2 linked regions of the Oryctolagus cuniculus genome follow. The protein of the gene in region 1 binds, or shares a complex with, the protein of each later gene. Links are inferred from orthologs where the notes say so. Each region holds a gene or a part of one and is shown on either strand. Other genes may lie near its edges.

What was found.
Region 2: POLR2H (region 1) and GTF2H5 share a complex: the UniProt entries of both Homo sapiens proteins name them as parts of the TBP-based Pol II pre-initiation complex. The link is inferred for Oryctolagus cuniculus from reciprocal best matches to the Homo sapiens genes POLR2H and GTF2H5.

Annotation. Positions count from the first base shown.
Region 1 is NC_091435.1:93,932,146-93,935,885, forward strand, and holds the start of POLR2H (DNA-directed RNA polymerases I, II, and III subunit RPABC3), read left to right. Parts: upstream 1-1,086; 5' UTR 1,087-1,597; coding exon 1,598-1,670; intron 1,671-3,717; coding exon 3,718-3,740. UniProt on the Homo sapiens protein: DNA-dependent RNA polymerase catalyzes the transcription of DNA into RNA using the four ribonucleoside triphosphates as substrates.
Region 2 is NC_091436.1:9,584,917-9,588,656, reverse strand, and holds the start of GTF2H5 (general transcription factor IIH subunit 5), read left to right. Parts: upstream 1-853; 5' UTR 854-996; intron 997-1,630; 5' UTR 1,631-1,668; coding exon 1,669-1,703; intron 1,704-3,740. UniProt on the Homo sapiens protein: Component of the general transcription and DNA repair factor IIH (TFIIH) core complex, which is involved in general and transcription-coupled nucleotide excision repair (NER) of damaged DNA and, when complexed to CAK, in RNA transcription by RNA polymerase II.

The DNA.
Region 1 (3,740 bases):
TGCGCTGCTCCGCCCGCCAGCCCATCCGGAGGGGCCGGCCTAGCCCGGCTAGGGTCTGCGACGGGGCCGCCTCCCAGGCTCCGGAGAGGCGGCAGGGGGCGCCTGGAACGCGCCTGCCGGCGGAGAAGGACTGAGAGGGGCGCCCGCGGCCGGGGCGGGGCAGGGCCACTGGCACGTGGAGCCGGTCCACAGCTCTCCGTGCAAGGCGGAGAGGGACCGGAGCCGCCGGGCGCTTAGGACTTCGGGCTCGGGGCTGCAGGGCTGCTAATTCGTGAGAGCAGCTGCCTTCTCTGCTGAGGACTGGAGGCCCAGGCGGGCCTGGAAAGGCCCCTCTGCGGGGGATTCGGAGGGCCATTCTGGGCTCCTGCCCTTGCTCGGGGCTAGCCTCAGGAGGTGCCCCTGCAATACCGGACCCGCCGGATTTTGCGGGCAAGGGGACTGGGAAAGAAAGGCCCGAGGGAAGGGAGTTCTAGTGCCTGGAAGGCAGGCGTCGGGGGTGGGGTGGGGTGGGCAGAGGTCGCTTCTCCTGGCAGGGCCCAAGGAAAACCCCAGGAGCTGCTGACGTCTCGCCGCCTTGGGGAAACGGCCTGCTGGGGTTTGGCTTTCTCTATCAGGGTCCGGGGAAGGAGAGAACAGAGGGTGGGGTGAGCACGGGGTGCACGGGCAGCGTTCGAGATAGCGAGCGCAGACGCGGCGTGCAGGAGGGCGGCAGGAGGCCAAGGAAGGGAGGTTGTGGGAGAAGGGGGCCAGCACCCGGGAGGAAGAGACAGGAAAGTGATCCAAGAGGAGGGCAGTGCTGGGGGAACACGCGGCACACGCTGAGGGGGCACTGCTAACGGGTAGGGCAGTGTGAGGGGATTTGTGGCAGGCGGAAGGAGCGAGCAGGGCCCAGGGGAAGAGGGCAGTGGTGGGGGGAGGGTGCAGCGCCAGAGGAGGGCAGTGCCAGCTTTCCTTTCCCCCGGAGTGATATCCTGGACGGCCCCGGCTCAGGTGACGTCCAGCAGGGCCGAGCCAGCCCCCGCCGACCTGGGGGCCCTCGGTGCCAGTTGAGGGACTAGGCATTACGTCCTGCTGGGCTAGCGCTCTGGGGGCGGAGTTTTGTTGCACCCGTCCCCGGCGCGGACTATGCCCTCGGGGGACACGAGGACCGGCAGGGTAGGGCTAGGGCCCGGCTTCTCTGGGGCAAAGATCAAGGTCTCGGCCTGGGTTAAGTCTCCAAGCATTCCAGGCTTCAGGGCCCGGACTCTGGAGAGGGCGAAGCGGAGCCCCAGCGGAGCGCGATAACCCGAGCCACCTCCGCCAGAGGTGGTGCTTGGGGCGTTCCCGCCCTGGGCGGAGTCACCTGGCTCGGAGACACGCCCTCAATGCGTGTTCCCTCGCCAGCAATCTATCGGGGCGGAAGTTGAGAATCCCCGAGGTGGAGGCGGCGGAAGTGGCTGCCGTACTGCAAGCTGGTGCGCATGCGCTTTCCTGCTGCTCTGCCGCCAGCGTTCAGGCGCCTTTTGCTCTAGTGTCTTCTTTTTCCACGCGAGAGTGGGCTAACTCGTAGTTGTGGTCTCGCTCCTCGCGTTTCCGCTGCTCTCGTGGCCCCCTCACGATGGCGGGCATCCTGTTTGAGGACATTTTCGATGTGAAAGACATTGACCCGGAAGGCAAGAAGTTTGACCGAGGTAGGTAAGGTGTGGGGTTTGGCCGAAGAAACTAACTTCCTCGGGACACACCCCTGGGCTCCGGCTCACGTGGCCTGCCCTTGCGGCAGGTCCTGATGTAGGGGCCTCTCCCAGGAGACCTTTTATGGATGAGAAAGCCGAGACGCCGAGCTCTCCCTGGCTGCACACACGCGGTGCCCAGTGCCATGGTGGTGGCAGGCTCCTGGACGTCTCTGCAGTCGCCTCTCACTTACACACATTTTGCCTTATTTAGTGCTCTCGAGAGTTCCCAGGAGGTAGGTGGTGCCTTCCTCTCCTCCTGGAGGGTAAGTTTGCCACCCAAGGCTGCACCGTGGTCAGTCTGACTTATGAGCCCGAATTCTTGTGTGGAGTCGAGTCTCCAGCTGATGTCAGACCCTCTGAGTTAACTGCGCGGTGCAGGCCAGGCGCCCGAGGTGTTTTTCAAGTCTCAGTTATTCAGTGAGATAATCCCCTTAGCATGGGAGAGGACACCTTTGGTTGAAGAAGTCCCTTGCCCAGACCCAGGTTCTAAATCACCCAGGTAGTGCCTAGAACTCTGTCTTTTGCTGCTAGAATATTTTGATTTGGGGGCAGGATTCCATTCATTTGCCATGCTTTTTTAAAAAATTATTATTATTTTTTAAAGATTAATTTTATTTATTTGAAAGAGAGAGAGGTAGAGACAGAGAAAGGTCTTCCATCCTTTGGTTCACTCCCCAGATGGCCACAACGGCTGGAGCTGTGCTGATCTGAAGCCAGGAGCCAGGAGCTTCTTCCAGGTCTCCCACACGGTGCAGGGGCCCAAGGACTTGGGCTATCCTCTACTGCTTTCCCAGGCCACAGCAGAGAGTTGGGTTGGAAGTGGAGCAGCCAGGATATGAACTGGCACCCATATGGGATGCCGGCGCCTTAGGTCAGGGCGTCAACCCACTGCGCCATAGTGCCAGCCCCAATTATTAATTTTTAAAGACTTATTTATTTATATGAAAGGCAGAATTACAGAGAGAGAGAGGGGTCTTTAATCCGTTGGTTCACTGCCCAGATGGCCACAATGGCCGGAGCTGCACTGATCTGAAGCCAGGCTCCTGGAGCTTCTTCCAGGTCTCCCACGTGGGTGCAGGGGCCCAAGGACCTGGGCCATCCTCTTCTGCTTTCCCGGGTGCATTAGCAGGGATTGGAAGTGGAGCAGCTGGGACTTGAACCGGCACCCATATGGGATGCCAGCACTGCAGGTGGGGCTTTGCCCACTAATCCACAATCGCTGGCCCCTGCCATGGTTTTTGTCCTCCATGCATATCTGGTTCTGAGCGAGCCTGCATTTCTCTCTCTCTCTCTCTCTTTTTTTTAAGGTTTGTTTTATTTATTTGAAAGACAGAGATAGGGAGAGACAGTGAAAGAGGTCTTCCATCCACTGCTTCACTCCCCAGGTGGCCTCAGTGCCTGGGGCTGGGTGAAGCCAAAGTGATCTGGGAGCTGGATCAGAAGCAAAGCAGCCTCTTCCAACTGGTGCTCTGATACAGAATGCCCACCTCGTACACAGCAGCTCTGCCCACTGCACTGCAGTGCCTGCACTTTTTTTTTTTTTTTTTTTTTTTTAAGATTTACTTACTTGTTTGAAAGGCAGAGTTACAGAGAGGCAGAGGCAGAGAGAAAGAGAGGTCTTCCATCTGCTGATTCATTCCCCCAAATGGTTGCAATGGCATGGGCTGGGCTGATCCGAAGCCAGGAGCTTCTTCCAGGTCTCCCACATGAGTGCAGGAGCCCAAGGACTTGGACCATCTTCTGCCTTCCCAGGCCATAGCAGAGAGCTGGATCAGAAGTAGAGCAGCAGGGACTCGAACCAGCACTCATTTGGGATGCCAGTGCTGCAGGTGGCGGCTTTACCCAATATGCCCTGTGCCTGCACTTCTGTGAGAGCACATAAGAGGCCAGTGGATGTAGATCAGGTTACATTAAATAGTCGATTGCCTGTAATTCCCAAACTGGGATCTGTCAGATCTGCCTTTGCCCTGGTAATTACATCGTCCGTCTCTCTGCTTCTCCCCAGTGTCTCGACTGCACTGTGAGAGC
Region 2 (3,740 bases), on another chromosome or scaffold:
CAATAGACCGCAAACGTCTAGAACACGGTTTGGCACCTATCAGGTGCACAACAGTGCTCGCTGATCCAGCGGATGCAGATTTTAAAACTGGGTGACTTGGAGAGACACGGGAAGGAAAAGCAGGTTTTTAACGGGAGGGGGCGGGCGGAGGATGAGCAGCTCCGTCTGAGCGGTGGAGTGCACGTTACAAACGGGTCCCCCGGCGCGGGCATCGGGCCAGCACCCCGAATCCCCGGCACACCGCCCACGCGGAGCGCAAGGCAGAGAGAGCCAAGGGCACTCGCCAGGAACGAGCGCCCCGGGACGCAAGGCACGTGAAGACTCGGGGATCGCAGCTGGACCACAAGAGCCCACGCGGGGAACGGGCAAAAATCCGCACGAACTTCACCCGGCAGGTGCAACTCAACGCAAGGCGCCCGCACCTCCTCAGAGCGCGCGCGCTCCCGGGCCGGGTCGGCACCGGCGGGATCTCCGCGGGCTCCCCCTCCGCCGTGACCGAGGCTCCACGCCCGGCTGCACGCGGGCAGCCCCGCGCGGCGCCCCCCGAGCTGGGCAGCCGACGCCAGAGGACACTCCGGCCCCCGAGGACCGGAGAGAGCCCCTCACGCCGCGCGACCTCGCTGGGGCGCCCCGTCACCGTGCTCCCACGCGCCGCCGCCCGCGTCCGCCCTCACGAGCCCGGCCCCCCAGTCCTCCTACCTGCCGGCTCGCGGACACGGCCCGCCCCCCGACCGCTCACCGGGAATCCCGGCGCCGGAGAGCCCACCCTCCCGGCGCGGCCTGCCCCCGGCCCTCCACTCGGCGGCGGCCGGCCTGTGGCCCCGCCCACGCGGCCCAGCGCGCGCCCCGCCTCCCAGCGGCGCGCTCCTCCCACAGAGCGTCCCCGGCGCGATGACGTCACAGGGCAGACGCGCGCGCGCGCTGCGGGGCATCTGGGGGCCGCCGGGTCTGTGGGCTGCGGTGCGTGGCGAGCTCGGGGCAAGCCGGCGGGGTGAGGTGCGTGGGAGACCGGGCGTTCCCGGAAAGAGAGGGAGGAGAAAGATCGGAAAGTCTGTCCTGCAGGTGCTGGGGCGCCAGAGTGCGCCCCGCTCTGACGCGGCGCTGGGTGTCCGTGCCCTGGGCCCCGGGGTAGCGGTTGGAGGGGTCAGGGGGCGCCCGCCGCGCCTGGAGCTCGGAGCGCGGAGCCTGGGGGACGCGGTTTACCCGGGGAGGGAGCCCGCAGTGTGGCTGTGTCCCCCCACCCCCGACCTCCCGGTCCGGTCCGGTCCGGGAAGAACGGCGGCTTAGGGTCCTCGCCCTGTCTCAGGTCCGAAATGAAGAGGCTGGGCGCCCTGTAGGTCTTGCGGCCCCCTCTCCCCCGCCCTCCGGGACCTTAGCCTTGTCAAGCCCCCGGGTGGGGAGCCGGAGTACCGGGGCGCGGCGCGGCTGTGGGGTTCGGCCGCAGGTGTATGTGTGCGTGGTGGACAGCTCCGGACAGACTCCGTTTTGTGAGAAGCTCAGAATGGCTGCATGTCTCCTTTGTGTTAGCTTCGTCTCTGATAGACTTCGCTGTTTATACTGACGGGGAGTGGCTTGCCTTGTTCCGGTCGATGCTGTTGAATGACATGTCCACCTTGTCCTTTTTTATTAGCTTGGTTGAGATCCTCTGCCCCTTCCGGCTGGACAAAGATGGTCAACGTCTTGAAAGGAGTGCTCATAGAATGGTTAGTAGTTTTGATACCTCATTTACGTATTGACTCAAACTCATCTGACCTTTTCTGAGGTCAAGTCCCTTTTTCGTTTTCTTTTCTAAGGCCGGAATGCAATCAAGTCTTTCCATTTTCTACACTTTCAAAAAGTGAAACGTTTTGTCGCTAAATTTCTTCCAGAGTGTGGGGGGGAGGGGACAGAATTCAGTGTCTCCGTTGCATTAGTGTAATTGGCATCATTTCCAGCGATTTTTGATCAGAATTGATCGGCCTAGTCCTGGAGGGAAAGGTTACTCGTAATCTCTTCCAGCCATCAGAAGGTGACAGAGTTACAAGGCCTGTAAGATGGCAGGAGCTCCGTTGCCTTCATTACAAACTGACCTTTAAGGAGAAAGACAGGGCCCGTTAGGGTTTCTTGAACTCCTTTGCACACATGCCAGAGAAACCGGAGACCATCCCGGCCAAGGTTGAATTTGGCAAAGCAGTGTAATCTAGAGGGCTCGGCGATTGCCCAGTCTCCAAAATCTGCACTCCAGAATCAGTCTTGCTCCTTGTCCACTTGCTGGCTCACCCACCAGTAGTTCTGTCCCATGAAGGAACTCTGGCCTGCGCACCTCTGTGTGCCCCTGAGATGGCCATCGCACAGATGCTGCTATGTATCCCGTGACGGTGAGCCAGCCTGGGGAAGGGGCGAGGACAACAGCCGTCAGATTCGAGCGGCACCCTCCAATAGGAACAGAATGCAAGCCACATATGTAATCTTGAATTTTTTAGTAGCCACTTCTGAAAGTAAAATTAAATGGGTAAAATGAACATTTTATTTAACCCCAACATATTGAAAATATTCTTTCAGCTTGTACTGAGTTTTCAAAATAACAACAACAACAACAAAACGAATGCATTTGAAAGGCAGAGTTACAGAGAGGCAGAAAGAGAGAGATCTTCCATCCACTGGTTCTCTCCCAAAATGACCGTATTGGCCTGAGCTGAGCCGACCTGAAGCCAGGAGCTTCTTCCAGGTCTTCCACCTGGGTGCAGGGGCCCAAGGACTTGGACCATCTTCCACTGCTTCCCCAGGCCATAGCAGAGAGCTGGATCGGAAGTGGAGCTGTCAGGATTCAAACTGGCACCCACAAGGGATGCCAGCACTGCAGGTGTGGCTTTACCCACTACACCACAGCACCAGCCCCAAAAAACAGTCTTTAAAGTCCGGTGTGTATTGTGCTTTTCCAACATATCTCACAGACCGGCCCTATTTCAGTTGCTCTAGTGAGTGTGACTTGTGGGCTGCCTTATGGTTAGTACAGATCTGGAGTTTCGGCATAGGTGACCCGGCAAAGAGTGCAGAAGCTAAGGGAGAAAATGTTGCACGGAGGTGAATGGGCTGTAAGCAGGAGTGGTGAAAGGTGGATGATGTGAAGACAGACTAGATGAGATGCAGTCGATCTTTGGTAAGAGCTGTTTCGGTGGCGTGGTGGGAAAGGTGCCAGATTGGAGTGTGTTTGTCCCCCGCTCCTCCCTGGAGAATACTCTTCCAGCCCCTCCGCGGATGCCTTCCACCGCAGGTGATACCCAACCGTAAATGTAATGCCTTCCCGTTCTTACCTAAGCACTTAGGATGCACTGTGGTGATAACTTGCAGTTTGAGATGGGAGAGTAAAAGTAACAGGAACTTCTTCTACCAACACGATTTCATGAGTGGAGGATTGACTCTCATCATAGGTCGAAGCAACACCACACTGTTTTTTTCCCTGTGCTTATTAAGTGGAGAATTTTCACCACTTCACTTGAAGAAAGCATTTTACAGCTTCTCTCTGCTTTACCCGATTTGCACACTCCCTGCTCTTGCATTTGGGACAATTACTGAGTAAAACCAGGGCGCCTCAGCACAGCAGTGCTCTGACAGCCGAGGTCGCTGAGAAGACTGAGGGGCGGGTAGCACATCCAGCAGGACCGAGCACGGCCGTGAGAGACTTCATCACACTGCTAAGAACAGTGCTTGTCTCTGGAGTTTCCCTTTTACTATGTTTGGACCACATTTGACTGCAGATA